2 linked regions of the Arabidopsis thaliana genome follow. The protein of the gene in region 1 interacts with the protein of each later gene in a pairwise test. Each region holds a gene or a part of one and is shown in the gene's direction. Other genes may lie near its edges. The genes, in order: PLDGAMMA1 and PIP2A.

Evidence for each region.
Region 2: the proteins of PLDGAMMA1 (region 1) and PIP2A come close enough for resonance energy transfer, tested with the Arabidopsis thaliana proteins (one study listed by BioGRID).

What each region holds. Positions count from the first base shown.
Region 1 is NC_003075.7:7,128,360-7,135,763, reverse strand, and holds PLDGAMMA1 (phospholipase D gamma 1), read left to right. Parts: upstream 1-2,378; 5' UTR 2,379-2,826; coding exon 2,827-3,789; intron 3,790-4,066; coding exon 4,067-4,183; intron 4,184-4,272; coding exon 4,273-4,467; intron 4,468-4,556; coding exon 4,557-4,805; intron 4,806-4,911; coding exon 4,912-4,980; intron 4,981-5,055; coding exon 5,056-5,203; intron 5,204-5,281; coding exon 5,282-5,430; intron 5,431-5,510; coding exon 5,511-5,705; intron 5,706-5,792; coding exon 5,793-5,990; intron 5,991-6,118; coding exon 6,119-6,412; 3' UTR 6,413-6,641; downstream 6,642-7,404. Other genes in the region: AT4G11860 (FAM63A-like protein (DUF544)), read left to right, coding at 28-82, 172-253, 340-420, 554-667, 762-811, 946-1,066, 1,432-1,527. UniProt on the Arabidopsis thaliana protein: Hydrolyzes glycerol-phospholipids at the terminal phosphodiesteric bond to generate phosphatidic acids (PA).
Region 2 is NC_003074.8:19,802,566-19,807,735, reverse strand, and holds PIP2A (plasma membrane intrinsic protein 2A), read left to right. Parts: upstream 1-2,005; 5' UTR 2,006-2,281; coding exon 2,282-2,588; intron 2,589-3,056; coding exon 3,057-3,352; intron 3,353-3,479; coding exon 3,480-3,620; intron 3,621-3,710; coding exon 3,711-3,830; 3' UTR 3,831-4,263; downstream 4,264-5,170. UniProt on the Arabidopsis thaliana protein: Water channel required to facilitate the transport of water across cell membrane. Probably involved in root water uptake. Its function is impaired by Hg(2+).

The sequences.
Region 1 (7,404 bases):
TAAATAGTTGTTCTTGAGTTTTTCCAGGTGAACTAATCAGGAACTTTATGAAGAATAGTGCAAGTCAATTAACCTTTTGTGGGTGCGTGATCTTATTCATAGTTAGGAAGTTATATTTTAAATTGACTGCTCATGTATTATCTTACATTGATTATTGATCATATCTTACAGACTCTTTCGCTTGCAAGAAGGCCTCAAAGAACGTGAACTCTGTGTTTTTTTCCGGAACAATCATTTCTGCACCATGTTCAAGGTTTGTTTAGTTTGCGGTTATTTCCATCTTTGAATTGCAACAGGTTAATCCCAACTAAATTCTTCTTGTTGCTGTCATATTTTCAGTATGAAGGTGAACTTTATCTTTTGGCTACAGATCAAGGTTACCTGAATCAGCCTGATTTGGTTTGGGAAAAACTAAACGAGGTATCAGCAAAAGTTACTTACTCACCATTTGTCTTATCTGCTAATTTTGGCTTCTTAGGAGATATCTCTATATCCACAATCTCTTTAGAGCTATGGCTGTTGTGACCACTATTGACATGCAATCTGGTTTCAGGTTAATGGTGACACTGCATTCATGACTGCTACCTTCAAGGACTTCACGATCGACAGCAGCACAGGTGGTGCAAGTGGCACATGGGATGAACGAAACGCAGTCACAAATACTGCTGTATGTTCTCCTCATAATATAGTCACTAATCCACATTAGATCTCCTTCTTTTACCTTTTTAATCATTTTTTTTCTTTTGGTTCTCCCTACACAGGATTATCTTGCCAGCATCAACAATGTAGCGGATGCAGGCATAGATGTCAAGTAAATATTTCATACCTTTCTTTGACCACTAACCCATTGGTTCTCACCAGAGACACATTTATGCATTTGTTATAACTGTCCTCTTAAAAACATATTTATGATTGTTTAATTTTAATTCCCATGGTACTATGCAGTTCTGATCTGCAACTAGCAATAGCTTTGCAACAACAAGAGTTTGAGGACCAGAGCCCACGTAGTAACCCAACTCCACAACCAACTAGCGTTGCTGCCTCACGATTGGTCACTGGTCCACAGGTATTTCATTCCTACTCATAACACTATATTCTTAAAAAGCAGGAATCGACACAAATGGTTAACAATGATTATAAGAAAAGGTAAATTACCGTGTGACCTGCACATTGCAACAATATACAACACTGATTATTAAAATAGTAAGAGAGTATAGCCTTAACAAGCACATCTGCAAGTCCTGTTTAGTACATTTGTTTTCTGTCCATATACTTTACCGACTAAGATGAGTTTACAAGTACCAATTGCGAGTGTAAAACATCGATAATGATCATACACCGTAATCAGAAGCTCATTGAATATAATGCAGCCTTGCTTCTTGTGGTGTTTGGATGAATGTTAATGATCAGATATTGTACTGACCATTGCAGGTACCAAGGAGCAGCCACAGGCCATCATCAGCTGCGTCTTCGAGACACGACGGCAAATCCCCTAAAGATAAAGATAGCAAATGTAGAATCATGTAAATCCTCATTTCACTTATGTAAATTTCCAACTTTTTCTTATTCCCTAACTAATTTTAATCCTTAAAAGCTTTTTGGTTTTAACAAAAAATAAACTGTAATTGCGCTTTGACTAAACTATTTTTTGTTGCTCATAAAAAATCAGAGCTTTTCTTTATCCTTTTGAGAAGTGGGAGACGAATTAGAGTTTGTGTTCACGTTTTGGCTTTCGTTCTGTTAAGTTACTCTGATCGCCGTTACTTTTTTGACGGAGTAACGGCTATTGTCCGTGATGCCTTTTATAATAATTCTGCTTAGCCGGCTCGGTTTGACTAATCGCCAACTTTTTCAAGTTGTAATCGGAGAATGTGATTATTAATCCCTAATTAAAATACTTTTTATCTGCATTAGCTAATCATTTTGACTAGTTATAAACTTAAAATAATAAATAAATTATATCCTAATCCCTCAATTCGAATTTCAAACTAGTTTGTATTTCTTTACAAGTTCAACTTTTTTCTTTTCACTATAAGATAATGATGTGCTAAGACCACGACTGATAGATAATATGAATCCACTAGAGCTGTTGAAAATTATAGTTCAAAATTGAGGAAGACTTCAACAATGAAAATGTCTTCTCCATTGAAGAAAATGTCTTGATTTATTATTCAATACGCAATTATATGGTTTAATTTAGTGATTTTTCGAATGTTTACTTCTTGTTGATAATAAATATTAAATAGTAATATGATTTCATTTCAAGAAAATGTCATGCTTAATTATTACTTACACTATTAAGTCGAATGTTTAATTTCTAGTTGATATATAAAAATAGTAACATCACCACTCAAATGAAGTTGCATCAAAAGAGGGACCAGAGAGAAAGAGTTTCGTGAGCAGCCAACAACCAAAGTGGAAGTCCTCTTAGTCGTCGTTACTAAAAACAAATAATTTATTAGTTTAATTGAAGATTAATTTGTGTTATTAATGGCTAAAGTTAGAACGATTCAACAACGGCAGCCAATATCTTTAAAATGTTCCGATTCTTCCGTTTCAAGTCAACGTTCCCTTCGTTTCCTCCCACCTTCTTCTTCACAAAAATCTGAGATTTCATATAAATTTGCCCATATTTTTAGATCTCCATTTGATCTGAGTTTGTATTATCACAAAGTTTTATCTTCTTTTTTTTCACTCTTCAGTCTTGATCTCTCGATTATTGCCCACCAAGTGATCGATCTTTTGTCTCACTGAACTCGGTTACGCTTGAGATTTGATCTAACAGCTGAAAGTTTCTGACTTTTTGGGTTTTTGATTTCGATTTTCATGGCGTATCATCCGGCTTATACTGAGACTATGTCTATGGGAGGAGGGTCAAGCCATGGGGGCGGCCAGCAATACGTGCCGTTTGCTACGAGTAGTGGCTCTTTGAGGGTCGAATTGTTACATGGTAACTTAGACATTTGGGTTAAGGAAGCTAAACATCTTCCTAATATGGATGGTTTCCATAACAGACTTGGTGGGATGTTGTCTGGGTTAGGTCGGAAGAAAGTGGAAGGTGAGAAGTCTTCTAAGATCACTAGTGATCCTTATGTTACTGTCTCTATCTCTGGTGCTGTGATTGGTAGAACTTTTGTTATTAGCAATAGTGAGAATCCTGTGTGGATGCAGCATTTTGATGTACCGGTTGCTCATAGTGCTGCTGAAGTACATTTTGTTGTGAAAGATAGTGATATTATTGGATCACAGATCATGGGAGCTGTTGGAATCCCAACGGAGCAGCTGTGTTCGGGGAATAGGATCGAAGGGCTCTTTCCGATACTTAATAGTAGTGGGAAGCCTTGTAAACAAGGTGCTGTGTTGGGTTTGTCTATTCAATACACTCCAATGGAAAGAATGAGACTTTACCAAATGGGTGTTGGTTCTGGTAATGAGTGTGTAGGAGTTCCCGGTACATACTTCCCTTTGAGGAAAGGCGGTAGGGTTACTCTGTATCAGGATGCTCATGTTGATGACGGTACTCTTCCGAGTGTACATCTTGATGGTGGGATTCAGTATAGACATGGAAAGTGCTGGGAGGATATGGCTGATGCAATAAGGCAGGCAAGAAGGTTGATTTATATCACAGGTTGGTCAGTTTTCCATCCGGTTAGGCTGGTTCGTCGTACCAATGATCCCACCGAAGGTACATTAGGGGAGTTGCTTAAAGTCAAATCTCAAGAAGGTGTTAGAGTGTTGGTTTTGGTGTGGGACGATCCAACGTCAAGGAGTCTTCTGGGATTCAAAACAGTAAGAATCTACATAACTCTGTTGTTGCTTCTCTGTTTGCGTGAATGCTGAGTTAAAAAAATATGCAGGTTTAATACTATGTTCTTAATTTTTCGCATAGGTTTTTCTCTGTGTTTCTATTTAATCCGGCTAATGTTCCGTATCCAAAATAGATCCACGCTACTGTCTATCTTGTTGGAAAGCATGAGTTTGCTTCAGTTAGATCGTTTTACATGTCTGTACTAACTGAAGCAATGATCCTTCTATCGTTTTAATGAAAGCTTTTGTTTTGTTGTAGCAAGGAGTTATGAACACAAGCGATGAGGAGACTCGCCGTTTTTTCAAGCATTCGTCGGTGCAAGTTCTCCTTTGTCCCAGATCTGGAGGGAAAGGTCACAGCTTCATAAAAAAATCTGTAAGATGCTCATTAGTTACTGCTTACTGCTTAAACTCCCGTGTGTATAGTTTCATCATCTGAAATTTGAGTGTCATTATGATGATCAGGAAGTTGGAACAATCTACACGCATCATCAAAAAACTGTGATTGTAGACGCTGAAGCAGCTCAGAACCGAAGAAAGATCGTAGCATTTGTTGGAGGGCTAGATTTGTGCAACGGACGATTTGATACTCCCAAGCATCCTCTCTTCAGGACATTAAAGACACTCCATAAAGATGACTTCCACAACCCAAATTTTGTGGTAACCATTTAAGAAAAATCCTCCTTGGTTGCAGTTTTGGAATTAAAATCGCTATTCTTGATCCATGTAAAATCTGTTTTTCTTATTAGACTACTGCGGATGATGGACCAAGAGAACCATGGCATGATCTTCACAGCAAGATTGATGGTCCAGCTGCATATGATGTACTTGCTAATTTCGAGGAACGCTGGATGAAGGCTTCAAAACCTCGCGGAATTGGGAAACTAAAATCTTCTTCTGATGATTCTTTGCTTAGGATAGACAGAATTCCTGACATCGTGGGACTTTCTGAAGCTTCTTCTGCTAATGATAATGATCCAGAGTCTTGGCATGTTCAGGTAATTTAGCAAGACTAATTATCATTGATAACTCATGAAGCATTATTTTTATTTGTGGTGGTTACAAAAGGAATCTAATTTTTGTTGCAATGATATTAATCTTTAGGTTTTCCGTTCCATTGATTCAAGTTCAGTCAAAGGGTTTCCAAAGGACCCAAAGGAAGCTACTGGAAGAGTAAGAACAACTGTGAACTGTTTTAGTTTGTCATCATGTTGCTATTCTCTGCTGACAAACTGTATTTGTGAACAGAATCTTCTATGTGGGAAGAATATTCTCATAGATATGAGCATACACGCAGCTTATGTTAAGGCCATACGATCTGCTCAGCACTTCATTTACATTGAGAACCAATATTTTCTTGGATCTTCATTCAACTGGGATTCAAACAAGGACTTGGGTAAGAAAATTGAAAGCTTTTAAAGGCAAGCTCAGTAATCAATGCGTGCAGTAATAACAAGGAGTTTTGGCATTGCAGGTGCTAATAATCTAATCCCGATGGAAATCGCGCTTAAGATTGCTAACAAAATTAGAGCAAGGGAGAAGTTTGCTGCTTATATTGTCATTCCAATGTGGCCAGAAGGTGCTCCAACAAGTAACCCTATTCAAAGAATTCTCTACTGGCAGGTAAATAATTTGTCAATTTTTTGCTAAAACAACCCTATCTTGCCGTCTTCATACCGGAAATCTTTTCATAATCTCTGCAGCACAAGACAATGCAAATGATGTATCAAACCATCTACAAGGCACTTGTGGAAGTTGGTCTTGATAGCCAGTTTGAGCCACAAGACTTTTTGAACTTTTTCTGTCTTGGAACCAGAGAAGTTCCTGTTGGAACAGTTAGCGTATATAATAGTCCTCGGAAGCCACCTCAGCCAAACGCAAATGCAAATGCTGCACAGGTATACATATATAAATTTCTTCTTTTTAAAATCTTGAGTTTCACCATAATGGCCTCGTTAACTCACTGAAACAACAAACTAATCTAGGTACAAGCTTTGAAGAGTCGAAGATTCATGATATATGTTCATTCCAAAGGTATGGTAGTGGATGATGAGTTTGTCTTAATTGGTTCCGCGAATATCAACCAGAGATCCTTGGAAGGAACTAGAGATACTGAAATCGCCATGGGAGGGTATCAGCCACACTATTCATGGGCTATGAAAGGTTCTCGTCCTCATGGTCAGGTAAATAAGACTTTCAAATACTTCTACTTTTCAATCTAGGACAGCATTCTAAGACGAAAAACTAGCAACCCACCAATGTATGTTCTCTTAAACATGTCTGAACCCTGGTTTGTCCCAATTTCTTGCAGATCTTTGGGTATAGAATGTCGTTATGGGCAGAACATCTAGGGTTTCTAGAGCAAGGTTTCGAGGAACCAGAGAACATGGAATGCGTGAGACGAGTAAGGCAATTGAGTGAGCTGAATTGGAGACAGTATGCAGCAGAGGAAGTCACAGAGATGTCAGGTCATCTTCTTAAGTATCCAGTTCAAGTTGATAGAACAGGCAAAGTGAGTTCTCTTCCTGGATGCGAGACATTCCCAGATCTGGGTGGCAAGATCATAGGATCGTTCCTTGCACTACAAGAAAACCTCACCATATGAAACTTACCTTGTAGGCTTGTAGTGATCAACATTTGTTCTTTATTTCTTCCACTTCAAGAAATCTCTCTCAGTGTGATCTGATTGAAAGTGTGCCTTTAGGGTCTAGTTGTGCTTTTCAAATTTATGAGCTGTAAATCTATTTATTACAAAATTTCAATTGATCTATCAAAGTGTGTGTTTTGGATTTTTACTATATGATTTAATTTAGTAATGTTGTCATATCTTTAGTACTATATGATTACAATATCACATTGGCTTGTAGAAAATGAAAAATGTCATCCTGAAACAGCTTTTGCTAAATCATTCATAAGATCATGCATCACAAAGCTTGTCATGAAAAAAAAGATTGAGCAAACTAAATCACCAGGTAATCATTTCCAATCTTCTGCTGCTCCTTGGTTGGTATAAGAGGTCTACTGCAATAATTCCTCCCTATCGAAAACATGGCCCTTGGGGAATACTGAGCAGAGGTCAAAGCATCGCTTAAGTTGAGGAGGAAGAGAGTCATAGCTTAGTTTAAGTAGTAACTACTGGAAGGAGTTCGCTATGTTTTCCCTCGTAACTTGTTGGAGCCAAGGAGTTGCAACAAGTCAGACAGGAAAAACTCAATACAATTATTAGAATAGGGAAGCAGATAAGGATTTGTTGACTTGCTCTTCTCTATGCAATTTGTCAGCAAATGATAATAATGTCAAGATTCTTGAGATTTTCTTCTTCCATTTGATCATGAGTAGATTCATAAGTTTGCAGACATTTTTCCGAATTTTTTTTACTTACATCCCCATTTTCTGAAAGTGTTATTACATTTTCTTGCAGTGGCCATGGAGCATTCAACGCGTCACACCATCTTTTTTCCTTTCTATCTTCTCTGATCTATCTATATTATCTCTAAAAGATTTGAGAGATGGTGTTGAATTCACCACAATTCTGCATTCCAACCTAAATCAACAGATCAAAAAAAAAAAAAAAAAAATTGAATAAAAATTATCTTT
Region 2 (5,170 bases), on another chromosome or scaffold:
GTGACTAAAAAGGACAAAATTTATGCATAACGACGTCATACTATATGTAACTCGATTTGTCTAGAATATTTAGATAAGGTTAAGACTAGTTTTCTATGAATAGAAGAAAGTGTAAAATATATAAATAAACATACTAATAACAATTAACAACAGAACCAGAACCAGAAAATTCACATTTCTGTGCTTTTATTATCTAAAATTCACTTCGAAAAACATGAGAAAAAAGAGTTGGCTGACGTGGAATATTCGTCTAATAGTAGCCGACCAACGTAGCCAAAACGATAAGGTTTGCCACATGGCAAAACGATAACCATGGAACTGCATCTCCTGTCTTTTGTTTGGTTGTCACAATTTGTCATTTTTATTGGGATTTATTGTTTTGTTATATTTTCGTTTTCAGTCTAATTGTCAGCAATTTTCGCAAAAGATATGAAATTTTGGATATGAAGAGAAAATGCAAATGATTGGTGGGGACAACAAACGTGGCATTATGTGAGTGGTTGAGCGAACAAACGGCTATATGCTGAGATGGATTGGACGGTGACGATACGTTTGTCGGAGGGATCGGGTCGGTTAGTCACGCGCGCCACCCATTCACGTGTCACCTTTTGCCAACACAGACCATATGATTTTAACCTCAGTGGAATCTCGACCCACCCCACAAAACGGCACCATAACTTTACACCCTGGTTTTAGAGAGTGATATACCAACACAACAATTATGAAAAAGGGTTCGTTTAGGCTTTGGTTACTTTATGTTAGTAATATCAACTTAAATGCTAATTTGAGTTATGTGTGATAAGATATACGACGAATCAATTTACTTATCGTCAATTAAGTTTGAAATGAAAGTTTGTGAACGAAATAGTTTATGCTTCTTTAATATTGTGTCATAATTTTGAGTTCCGGCTCTAACATCTTCAAGTAGGGTTTTGTTTTATGACACCTCAAACATACTTAATAACATATGTTGGTGATAGAAAACTAGACCTTCTAGACTACAAAAATGTTTATAATGTAAGAGAATGACCATATATCTATCTATTTTGAAAACAAAGTGTTTTGACTTTGGTGAACAAGAAAAATGTTCTCTATATATACAATGAGACACTCGAATATAACCATGCATGATTAGTTGGATTTGGAGTGAAGAAACTTAGCCATGCTTCGTTGGAGCAAAATAAGGTTTTGGAGTTTTGTTATGTGTTTTCAAGAATGTAAATGCTGATTCGATAAAAAAAAAAAGTGGACGTAAGTTATTTTAAAATGATTTGGCATACAAAAACTGTGGCTTTTTAAATCTGAAAAATCGACAGGCTATGATATTATACGACAAAAAGAAGAGAGCACCATATTGATGATATAGTATATTGGGTCGGTCCTAAAGAAAATGACATTTAGGTGATGGGGGCGGCGAGGCTAAGTTAAAGTAAACAAAAAAAACCTCCATTATTTACCAGAAAAACATATAAAAATTTGATTGACATAAAAACTAATAAATTATTTCAAAGTTGTGGTTCTGATAGCTCTCCACCATCACCACTGATTGATACTTCCTATTGCTACGAGAGATAAAACTATGCAAGTTTATATGAGTGGATATAAAGTCTTGTTTTATGATATCATAAGCTAGCTAATCCCATATCATTATCATGTATTTATAGACGCATGTTCAATAGATTTGGATCAATCTTTTTGTCATGGACTTGGTGCAAACTATAACGTTAAATAGAATAAACTATTCTAATTTAGGATCTAAAATAAACTCGAATCAAATTTTAAAGAAATTTACTGGCTAACTTATTTGAATTTTTCAAATTTCAACGATTGAAAAACTCTAAGTCTGAAATTAAACTAGGGTTCTTGTCTTTACGTATTAGTAACTATGTATGATATTGATATATCAAGCAATCATTAAATAGAATTGGTTCAAAATTTATTTCAGGACAGCTAGTTCATAATCATTTTGTCAAAGCTACTTCCCTCATAATAATAATAATCATAACTCACTCGTATACTTTTATATCCAATTTTTTCATTGAAAATACAAACTTTCATTCCAAAAAAAAACCTCAATACACAAAAAACCAAAAAAACATATAACGTTGGCAAAAATACTAAAAATATTTTTTAAAAGATAAAGCAATAAAAAAGTATACAAACAAATTAACAAGAAGGAGAGCTCTCACTATAAAACAGAGCACATGTTCTTCTCACTAACCACTCCAACAGAGAAGCAAAAGAAAAAAAAGCTATTGTTTGAAAGAAGAAGAAGTTAACTATGGCAAAGGATGTGGAAGCCGTTCCCGGAGAAGGATTTCAGACAAGAGACTATCAAGATCCGCCACCAGCTCCGTTTATTGATGGAGCGGAGCTAAAGAAGTGGTCTTTCTACAGAGCAGTTATCGCAGAGTTCGTAGCCACTCTCCTCTTCTTATACATCACCGTTTTGACAGTCATCGGTTACAAGATTCAGTCCGATACTGATGCCGGTGGCGTAGATTGCGGCGGAGTTGGAATCCTCGGTATCGCTTGGGCCTTTGGTGGTATGATCTTCATCCTCGTCTACTGCACCGCCGGTATCTCTGGTATGATCCTTCTTTAATCTTGATTTTGGTTTGGTTTAGATTAAGATTATACACTTTTTGAGTATTAGAATTACAATTAAACCGAATAAGCTGAATAAGTTTTACTTATGTAAGTACAACTTGCAAACTCAAAATTTAGACAAGTAAAAATTATATGGTATGGTTTTGGTTTGTTTATTCGAAATTAATTATTTTGCAAGGAAAAATATTGCTTGGTTGACATTACTATTTAATCGGTTTAAAATCTTAGGTTTAAAAGACGAAAATGATTTGTTTATAAAACATTTAATAAGGGTCATGATCAAATCGGTTCTTATCCGAATGATATATATCTAATCTAAGCCTAGTAATTATTTTAAGCAACTGACTAACCCTGTCTTAACCAGAATTGAAACCGGTTAATTAATTGCTTGTTGTACCTTAATTCTCAAGTACTGGTAACATTGTCAACTCTTTTTGTTTCCTTAGGTGGTCACATTAACCCAGCGGTGACATTTGGGCTATTCTTGGCACGTAAAGTGTCGTTACCTAGGGCCCTATTGTACATAATCGCTCAGTGTTTGGGTGCGATTTGTGGAGTTGGTTTTGTCAAAGCCTTCCAAAGCTCTTACTACACCCGTTACGGAGGTGGAGCCAACTCTCTAGCCGATGGCTACAGCACAGGGACCGGTCTAGCCGCAGAGATCATTGGTACTTTCGTTCTTGTCTACACCGTCTTCTCTGCCACTGACCCCAAACGTAGTGCCAGAGACTCCCACGTTCCGGTGAGTCACATATGTAGTGCTATTAATCTTCAATATGGTTAACCGACTCAAAACCGGAACCAAAGCAAACCAAACCAACATTTGATTTCAATCATACTAATAAATTTGAATTTTGATGAAATAAAAGGTGTTGGCGCCACTTCCAATCGGATTTGCCGTGTTCATGGTACATTTGGCTACCATTCCCATTACCGGAACCGGAATTAACCCGGCAAGGAGTTTCGGAGCTGCCGTAATCTACAACAAGAGCAAGCCATGGGATGACCACGTAAGACCTCAACGTTTCTCCATTACATTCAACTATATTTTTCATTTTTACAAGGGAATAATGTTTTGAAATTTTGGTGATTACAAACAGTGGATATTTTGGGTTGGACCATTCATTGGAGCTGCGATAGCTGCATTCTACCACCAATTCGTTCTGAGAGCTTCAGGTTCTAAGTCTCTTGGATCATTCAGAAGTGCTGCCAACGTCTAAACACATCAAACCAGATTTCTCAAGAATAAATGAAGTTGTGATCTCTCTGTACAAATCTAAATCAGTCACTTGCAGTTTTCATTTCCCTTTCTTATATTTGTGTTTTCCACTTGCTCTTTTGTGAATTTTCCTTCGGTGTAATTGTTTTTTCTTTCGCTTTTAAACGAGTGATTGGAATTATAATCAATGAAATCAAAGAGGTTCTTATGCGTTGTGTTTACATTAATACTAGTACTAAAGTTAGTTTCCTTAGAGAATAACAACACCATGGGGCCATGTTCTTGGTCTTGTTTACGTCCTCCTCAAGATGCTCAGTGAATAAGCAGGATTTTGGAGAAACACATGTCTCTGCTTTAACGCAATCATTATCTTTCTAGAAAAGACCATTCCTTTATGTCTTCATACATCTCAGGCGGATAAAGCCTAGCGTGCACCAGCAGTAAGTTTTAGTTACTCTCTGAAACCGCCATTGTCCATTAACCCCATATGCCTCAAAGGCTCACAGAAACTGTTACATTCAAGATTCAACATACTTAGTCGTTTGTTACTTGACAATTATGAATCATATAGGAAATGCTCGAACTTGGCTGAGGATTGAGAGTCTTACCCTTCAGAATCTGCATTTTTTATGAGAACGTGAAGAGGTGTGGCCGCTCAAAATTGGCCTCTTGGTGGCCTAGCCTCAGCCTCTGAGACTGCCTACCATCCAAATCCTTTAATTACGAAAGTAAAACATGTGTTAGATGTTTGATCATTTACTGTAAGAAGTACTAATCGAATAAATTGTTATGCGAAGAAGAGAAATGATGATACTACTGCACCATTCAAAGAATTGATGGAGTTTTGAACCTCTCGGGAAGAGCTGAGTGTCACAAACCCAGTAGATCAGATTTGATATCGAGAAAGTTTCTAAAGGGACCTCATACAGTAGTAAGAAAATGACGAATGTAGTGATACAATAGGCTGGGATGCTTACGAACGATTTATGTTGTTTACTCTGGAGATGCTTGGCGGACAATTCAAAGATTTGGCAAACAACATCGCATAATGTACAAGAAAAGGCATATTCACCCCATCTAATACACGTCTCCCGAAGCTTCCTCTGTTCATTAACCGTAGACGAGACCTTCCTGAACCCGTTGCATCTGTGTGGGAAACAAAAAGAAGAAGGAGAAAAACTTGTTGTGCTGGTAAATTATTTCACCTGTGAGTGAGAGGACAAAACACACCTTCTCGTAAGTCTTCTGGCCAGAGCCACCGTGCTGGAAATTTTGGAGGAAATGGACATGCCTGAAAAGTTGTGTCTCCCCTCCGACGTTTGTCCCACATTACAAACGTTT